Cricetulus griseus: one gene and its partner. The protein of the gene in region 1 interacts with the protein of each later gene in a pairwise test. Links are inferred from orthologs where the notes say so. Each region holds a gene or a part of one and is shown on either strand. Other genes may lie near its edges.

Evidence for each region. The genes of interacting proteins can lie anywhere in the genome.
Region 2: the proteins of Med31 (region 1) and Selenbp1 interact in a two-hybrid assay, tested with the Homo sapiens proteins (2 studies listed by BioGRID and IntAct). The link is inferred for Cricetulus griseus from reciprocal best matches to the Homo sapiens genes MED31 and SELENBP1.

The regions. Positions count from the first base shown.
Region 1 is NC_048600.1:86,054,399-86,058,851, forward strand, and holds the start of Med31 (mediator of RNA polymerase II transcription subunit 31), read right to left. Parts: upstream 2,935-4,453; 5' UTR 2,793-2,934; coding exon 2,765-2,792; intron 1,769-2,764; coding exon 1,691-1,768; intron 1,420-1,690; coding exon 1,323-1,419; intron 1-1,322. Other genes in the region: uncharacterized protein C17orf100 homolog, read left to right, coding at 3,153-3,554. UniProt on the Homo sapiens protein: Component of the Mediator complex, a coactivator involved in the regulated transcription of nearly all RNA polymerase II-dependent genes.
Region 2 is NW_023276806.1:61,568,289-61,571,942, forward strand, and holds part of Selenbp1 (methanethiol oxidase), read right to left. Parts: intron 3,466-3,654; coding exon 3,280-3,465; intron 2,683-3,279; coding exon 2,562-2,682; intron 1,234-2,561; coding exon 1,051-1,233; intron 800-1,050; coding exon 621-799; intron 1-620. UniProt on the Homo sapiens protein: Catalyzes the oxidation of methanethiol, an organosulfur compound known to be produced in substantial amounts by gut bacteria. Selenium-binding protein which may be involved in the sensing of reactive xenobiotics in the cytoplasm.

The DNA of each region.
Region 1 (4,453 bases):
TAATAGAGTGACATATGTTCGCTGGAGGCCTCCAACCAGAGTATAGTTAGTTATCATCCAACAATTCTGCTGGTAAGACTGAACTTGAATTGAAGGTGACTAAGGCTTTTAATACCCAGTCTGTAAATCTGCTAGCACTGTTATAACAGCCTAATAACTTAAAAGTCTCTCCTTCAGATTCCTAAAGGAATCAATAATTGCATCATAAAGAGCAAATCCGGTGCAATCTGTTCTACAGGCAGTCCAGGATCAATTCAGAAAAGTGACTAGGATATAAAGAAAAGGCTTGAAATGTTTCCCTCTAATTTTTAAGATAGGGTCTATGTAGCCTTGACTGGCCTGAAACTTGCTACATAACTAAGCTGGCCTAAAACTCACCGGGATCTGCCGGATCTTCCTGAGAGCAGGGATTAAAGGGGCATCAGGCTAAAATTTCTGGGTTTGTTGTTGTTGTTGTTGTCCACCCTTTTAGGGGAGGGGGAGTTCAAGACAGGGTTTACCTGTGTAGCCCTAGCTGTCCTGGAAGTAGCTTTGTACACCAGGCTGGCCTTGAACTCAGAGATCTATCCACCTCCACCTCTACCTCTCAAATGCTGGGATTAAAGGTGTGTACCAGCTTGTTTTTCTTTTTTAATTAAGACAAAGCAGAGGGGTGAGTTCAAGGTTTTGTTTTACCATTCAAAGGGATAGCTGTGTAGTTGTGATGTTTCTCACAATTGTCTATCAAACAACTTGACAGTGTTCATGTTTGTCTTTCTTTTGTTTACAGTGAGTTAATGTGCACGATACATTTAGCACAGTACTTGACACATAGGAAACTATAAAGAAGACAGTAAGTCTAAGACTCCCAGAAAACACCACTTCTTATATGTTCATTTTCAGCTTATGGCTATACCACTACATTTTAGTAGTTTATAGGTTGGAAGGCATTAGAAACCCAGAGAGACAAGGGGAATGCTAAATGACAAGTTCAGACAGACCAAATCAAATCAGAGTCTTACTCTAAAACTAGTTACTGGATTTTATCCTACATGAATAGAAGTGGCATGTTCTGATTTATACTACTAAGACAGTAAATTGGTTTTGACAGACAACTGTTTGGCTTTGTTTGGTTTGAAGGGAGTGAGGTAAGAATGACAGCAGAAATAAGTGAGATTACTGTAACAATTCAAATTAGAAATGACAATGACATGACATGAACTAAAAGCAGAAAAATTCAAAACATAGTTTGCCATTCTGACACCGAGAAAACTGCTAAATATAAGCACTTCGTATTTATAATAAAGTATACACAGATTTAAGATTATAAAAATTAAACTTACTTTAGATACTTGGCATATTCTGGTTCTTTCCAGTAAAGCAAGTACTTAAGATAATTTACAAAAGCTTTGTCTTTGAAGTAACCTCTTTGGGCAAGAACTGAAAGGCATAAAGAAACAATCTGTATGTCAACCAACTGCTGGACTACTGACTTGTAATCGCTACAATAAAGTAGCTCTTTTAACATTCCTACCATCAAAACACAAGGAATTAAAAAACACAAGTCCTTGTTTGCTCAGTTAATAACTACAGACCATCGAAAGTAAAATCCCATTCAAACATACCGAAGTAAATACTATTATGAATTCCATCTCTTCTGTCAGAAATCATTAACAGCTAGCTACTCAACTTAATGATGTACTCGACTTACAATTAAGGTAATTTGGGTTGGCTAAACATTGCACAAATTCCAACTCCAACTGAAACCGAAGTCGATTTCCAGCATCATCTAGGAGAAAAAAGTAAAAGACACCCAAAATAAAAGTCACGATACCAATGATTTGTAGAAACAAAAACAAACTGCCAGTGAGACTGCTCAGCATGTAAAGGTGCTCACAGAAAAGTCTGATGACCTGAGCTCCATCCCTGGAACCCGCAGGGTTGCAGGAACAGTAGACTCCTGCAAGTTGTCCTCTGACCTCGGCATGCACCGCCCACCCCCATAGGAATGAATTTATGAAACAAATACCAAACTGCAGGAGAGATTTCCTTAGAAATCTCAGAGTGGAGCCTGGTTTAAAACAAAACAAGCCGAGTGGTGCATGCCTTTAATCCCAGTTCTTGTAAGGGGGAGGCAGGAGGATCTCTGTGAATTCCAGGCCAGCCTGGTATACATAGCCAGTTCCAGGCTAGGCAGTAGTACATAGTGAGACCCTGTCTTCAAAACAAAACAAAGATAATAAATTACCTAAAGTTAGTTGAGAAAAATAAACGAAACGGCTATTTAAGGCCACTATGGGAGGATGGTAACAGAGATCACTGGTTGGTCTGTAATAGCTGTGCCACCCCCAATGTTAGCGTTACAACCACAACTACTAACAGTGATTAAGTTAAACAAAAACAAAGTGCTAAATAAAAGCAGGAAGCAAGATGCAAAATGATTAAACAGCGGGGAGGAGACGGTAATCCGTATCAGAACCATACACGTTACAAACATTTCAAGCAAGTTCACGGGAAAAGCTCCATAGAGCAGACAATTGAAGGGCTCGGTCCTCTCCCTCAGTCCCACCCCGGCCCGCGAGCCAGGGAGTGGAGGTGTGAGCAGCCCAGGAGCAAAGATGTCGTTCACACAGGCCACAATCAGAGACAACACCGCCTTCTCCCCCACCGATCCCAACTCCTTAAGGATGCCGGGTTAAGCCCGAAAGACGGCGCGGGGAAACCGGAGAGAAGGGGGGAGGACCCGTTCCCTCGGTGAAGACTCCAGGAGCACGACACCACGAACCTGTCTCCATAGCGACGGCCGCGGCCATAACCAGAGAGGAGAGAGACGCGAACACAACCAGCCCGACCCAACCGCGGCTTCAAATGGTGAGGGAGGATCCGGAAGCCACGGCTCTTATTTCCGGTCGCGGGGCATGTGGGACGCGAGGGCGGAGACAGCCTCCTTCTGAGGAGAGAGGCCCCGCCTATCTGTGTGGTCTGGGCCGGCAGCCTGAGCAATTATCTAGCGGCGCGTGCTGGAAGAGCTCGTTGCTCGCAGATCCTATGTGGCCCGCAGCAGCCTACACTGACGTAGCTCATCACCCTGACGTCACCGTCCCTTGTGTGACGTGACACAGAGCATGAGTCTTGGGCCTCTGTGTCCCTTCTGACCTGGGTGTGCCAGCAGGATGGCCTCGCCCCTTAGGAGTAAATCCTTCGCCCCGCGAGTGGAAAGCACCCGCCAAAAGGAAACGTCGACTATCCGCGTGGAGACGTCGTCCCACCGCGAGGAAACGTCATCCCACCGCGTGGAGACGTCCTCCCGGCAGGTTCGAACGTCTTCTCGTCAGGTGGAGACCTCTCAGCGCCACCGAGAGGGACCCTCCCTGACCTCCTCCGCGAAGCGACTCCCTAGATTCCTCGAGGTATCCTCCCAGCACGTGGAAACCTCCTCGCAGTGCACGGAGACGTCCTCCAGCCACGTCAGGGCGTCGTCATCCCTGCGGGTGGAGACGACTGTGCACCGTGTAGAGAGCCCAGCCAGGAGGGACAAGCAAACAGCTCGCCAGAGTGCCAAAATGACCCGATGAAGTGGCCATGGCCCTTAGCCAGCACTGAAGTGTTTCCATTTGCCAGCCAGCCAGCTTCCAGGAGAGCCAAGCATCTTTGGTTTCATGGAAACAGCCTGTAAATCAATGTAAGAAACAGGCTGTGGTTTCTGGGTGCTGCCAACATGTATTGAGATTGCATCACCTTAGACCACCCTGCTGTTGACCCAGTGTACTATTTAACTCGAAGCCAGCACAGAAGGGCTTCAGACTTGCGGTGCGTATATACTCGGCTGATGATGGACAAAGAGGCTCTTTGAGTCTCTGCACCAGGTAAGTTTCGTAGCCTGAGGTCCCTCTAGAATGGTTTGACCACTTGAAATTTGCGAAGAAGGACCAAACTTGTCATGAATTCATGACCACTGGCTTGATTATATAGTGCTTGAAACCAATAGAACAAAGAATCATCTTTCATGGATTATTAATTGACCTTTATTTGTATTTCATAATAAGCTTTCCTATGTTAAGTTTTTATACACAGTACTCCACATACAGGCTTTTATTATTTTTTAAATAGGTCAGGGGGTGTTGGGGAAAAAAAGGCAAGTCAATTAATAAAAAATATGCTAAGAAGGGAAAGTGAAAAGAAAGCCATTGGCACCTGACCTGAAGGGTGAGGCTGACAGAGGATGGTTACTGAGTACCTACTGTGTGCTAGGTACTAGTCAGAGCATGTCAGCGATAACAGTGGAGAAGACTAAGATCTCCCTGTAGTGAAGAGGCAGAAACAAAGGGGAAAGCTAAGGTCTCTTGTGCTCATGTGAAGGAAAAGGTATCTGGTAGAGAACAGGGAAGTTTCTCTAGAGAATACCGTCAGGAAGAGCCTTGCTAATTGTGTGGGTGAACAGTGAGCCATACCAGGAACTGGAGGGGAGTGCGTT
Region 2 (3,654 bases), on another chromosome or scaffold:
CTCTCTAGCCCTGTTTCATGAGACAGGGTTTCGCTATGTGACCTTGACTGACCTGGAACTTGCTACATAGACCAGGCAGGCCTCTACTTCAAAGACATCGCCTGCCTTTGTCTCCCAAGTGCTGGGATTAAACACTTATGTCACCACCTGGGGACTAGGTGGGACCTTAGAGTAATTAAGTCAGAGCTCACGGAGGATGGGCTCACGTAGAGCATTTGTGGTTATCTTGAAAATGAGTCGTTTATAAAGCCAGTTTGTTTGCACATGGCTCACCCTGTGATGTCCCTGGAGGCAGAGTTCCCAACCACAAGAAAGCCTTTCACCAGATGCCACTCCTCAACCTGGATGGCGTAATGTCAGACCCATGAGCTAACTAAACCTCTATTCCCTATAACTGTCCTGCTTGTGATGCTCAGTTGCTCAGTTACAGCAACAGAGAACAGACTTGGGCAAGGTGGAAATTAGCCTGGCACAGCGAAGAGACAGGTAGGCTGTGCAGCAGCATTTCTTCCTGAAGAAGCCTTAGGCTGGTGAGACCATCACATGTGGACACTGAAGCCAGGAGGATGTCCTCATGAGACTCTTCTAGGAGCAGGGGTGAGGGGGAGTCATGGAGTTACCTCATTCTTGTAGAAGCGCTGGATGTTGGAGCTGAGAGCGCAGCCTACGAAGCCCTGGGTGGCAGCTGGGTCATGGAGGAAGCGGACCTCCAGGGGGATGAGCCCATCCTTCATTTGTAGGGTCTGGATGATTTCATGACGTTGCCAGTCCCACACATGCAAGTGGCTCCCGTACAGCCCTGAGGTGGGAGGGGGTAGGCACCAGAGGCTGGGCTCGGGTTGGGTGGGGGGGCATGGGCGGAGGCAGGGCACTGACTAGGATGGAGAGTTAGGAATGGGCACAGAGGACTCCTGAACAGGTCTGAGCCCTCTGATCACCAGGCATGTCTTAGCCTTTTACCAGTAGGGCCTGCAGATCTGGTGTAGGTCAGAGGACTGAAAAGGAGGGGATGTGGCCCAAGACTCCTGCCAACCCAAAGGTGATTCTCACCGGCCTCCACGTGAGCAGGGTTAAAGCCGTCTTTGAAGACATTAGGAGCTGCCCACTCAGTGCTGATCATGACATTGTGTCGTGGTTGGTACCAGAAGTCATAGCCCATAGGAGCAGCACCCCCAGGCTTCTCCCATGTCCCTTTCACCTCGAAGGTCTCCCCATCCAGCAGCACAAAACCGCCTGAGAAAGAGGGAAGAAAGAGGCTTAGGTAAAAGCCGTGAGCCATGGCTGTCTTTCTCACCCAGCTGGTCGGATCCTTAGGCTCAGATGCCCAAACACCCATTTCAGAGATAGCAGGGGTGAGGTAGGGCCTCACTCTGTGCTCTCCCTCCTAGAAACGTAATCTTTGGTTTAGAGCTCTGGGGAAAATGTGCTCCCCCTAAACAGAGAGCTCTGGGACTCAGCCCCATAAACATTTGCCCAGGCTGCCACAACCACCATGGGATTCTAACTCAAAGTCCAAGCTTTATTGGACAGCTACAAGTGGAGCTCCAGTCATGTAAGCCACCTGCCATTTCTGTACTCAATACATTTTTTGTTTTGTTTTTTGAGACAGGGTTTCTCTGTGTAATAGTCCTGGATGTCCTGGAATTTGCTTGATAGACCTGGCCTGCCTCTGTCTCCCAAGTGTCGGGCTTAAAGGCGTGCACCACCAATACCTGGCTGTGTACTCAATACCTTTTCTCCCTCCCTCCCTCCTTCCTTCCTCTCCTCCTACTTTCTCCCCTCCCTTTTCTGTCTTTCTTGAGACAGAATCTATGTAGCTCAAGATCTCACTCTGTAAACCAGGCTGGCCTCCTGCAGATATCCTCCTGCCTCTGCCTCCCAAGTACTATAATTCAAGGTGTCCATCACTGTGCTCAGCTAAATTTTTCTTAAAAACTTAAACACACACACACACACACACACACACACACTCACACACACACACACACACAACACACACACACACACACACACACACACACACACACACACACAACACGCACAAAGCCAAGCCAAGGGTGCTGGAATTACATTATGTTCTTTCTTCCTGGGTTCACGTGCGTGTTCATATCTTTATAGCCGACTCCTGACTATGCCTTCTAGCAAACTCAGCAGTCCCAGGTCATCTTGTGTGTCTGTGTGTTGTGAGTGTTGTGAGTGAAGTATGTGTATGTGTTCTTGTACTGGGAGTTGAACCTGGGACTTCACTGATAGCAGGCAAGTACTGTATTACTAGGGTATATATCTAGCCTTTTATTTTTATTTTCAGACAAGGTCTTGCTAAGTTTCCCAGGCAGGCCTTGTACTTGTTATCTTTCTGCCACAGCCTAGAGAGTATCTGAAATTATAGCCTGTACCACCAGGCCCAACTGATGTCACTTGCTGACATTTAAGATACTGGTGGACAGGACTGAGCCACCCAGTTCTCCCTGGTTCCTCACTCCATTGCTCCCCACACAGACAGATGTTTCTCACACTTCTTATCTGCTGAGGTTTTGGGGGTCCTCAGTGCCAGCAGGTACCTTTGGCATTACCCTGGGCATCGCCCAAGGCACTGATCATCACTTCTCCACTGGCCAGGCAGTGGCTGGTGTGCAGATTGCCCAGGTTGCACTTGGTGTGGAATTCACTGGGTTCAATGACCTGGAAAAGGTGAGGAGTAGGGTCAGACTTTACAGAGCTGGGGGTCTCGCTAGACTCCCTTCTCCCATTCTTCTGTTTTATCTGTGGAACTTTCTTCTTTTCCTCTCTTGGAGAGAAGACAGCACGGATTCAGTCTGGTAACTCGGGGAGCAGCAAGAGAAGGGCAGAGAAGCCACCAATAAGTCCTCAGTCAGAGGACTCCCCCCATCTTTCCTGAAGGCACTCCCAGCTCCTGGGGCCCCTCCCATGCTAGTGTTGGCTCTGCACCCTCAGCAGCCAGCTGTGAGCATCTGGTGCACAGGGAGCGTGTCCAATGGAGTTGAGAGGAAGGCCTGGAGCTGCTGCCTGGGGGAAGACATGATTTCCTAACTGTGTGGGGAAACCTGGCTCTCCTGCCCCTCAAGAAAAAGCCACTTCTTCTGGCACCCAGCCCATGCTTCTGGATGCTGCCAGCCCAGCAGACCAAGGTAACTTCTGAAGTCTGCCCTCCCTCCCTGCTGCTGAGCCAGACCCTGTGTGAGAGCTGGAGGTAGCTGGTCTAGGGGCAGTGGGGCCAGCATGTGTGAGGCTCTCCAGCCACAAGGACAGAGGACTTGCCTTGTGCAACTTCGGGGCTCGAGGATCAGAGCCCACGTCCACCACATAGAGGCGGGAGGACACGAGACTGGGTAGCATGAGCTTGTTGCGCGACTTGGTGCTGTCCCCAAAGCAGCTGCTGCAAGTGTTCCATCCCGAGTGATGCAGCTCATCCTTCAGGTAGGGCATGGGCAGCCTATGGATGACCTAGGGTGGAGAGGGGCAGGAAGTGCTGCTTGCCCAGGCCATACCTCTATAGACTCATTTTTGGCTGGGCATCTCAGCACAGGGCAGGGTTTCCGCTCAGCACCCCCTACAGTGAAGAGCTTCCATTGTCATAAGAGGGGGACAAAGGAGGGTGGAGTTAGGGAACCAGGGCTGTGGTGGGAGTCTCAG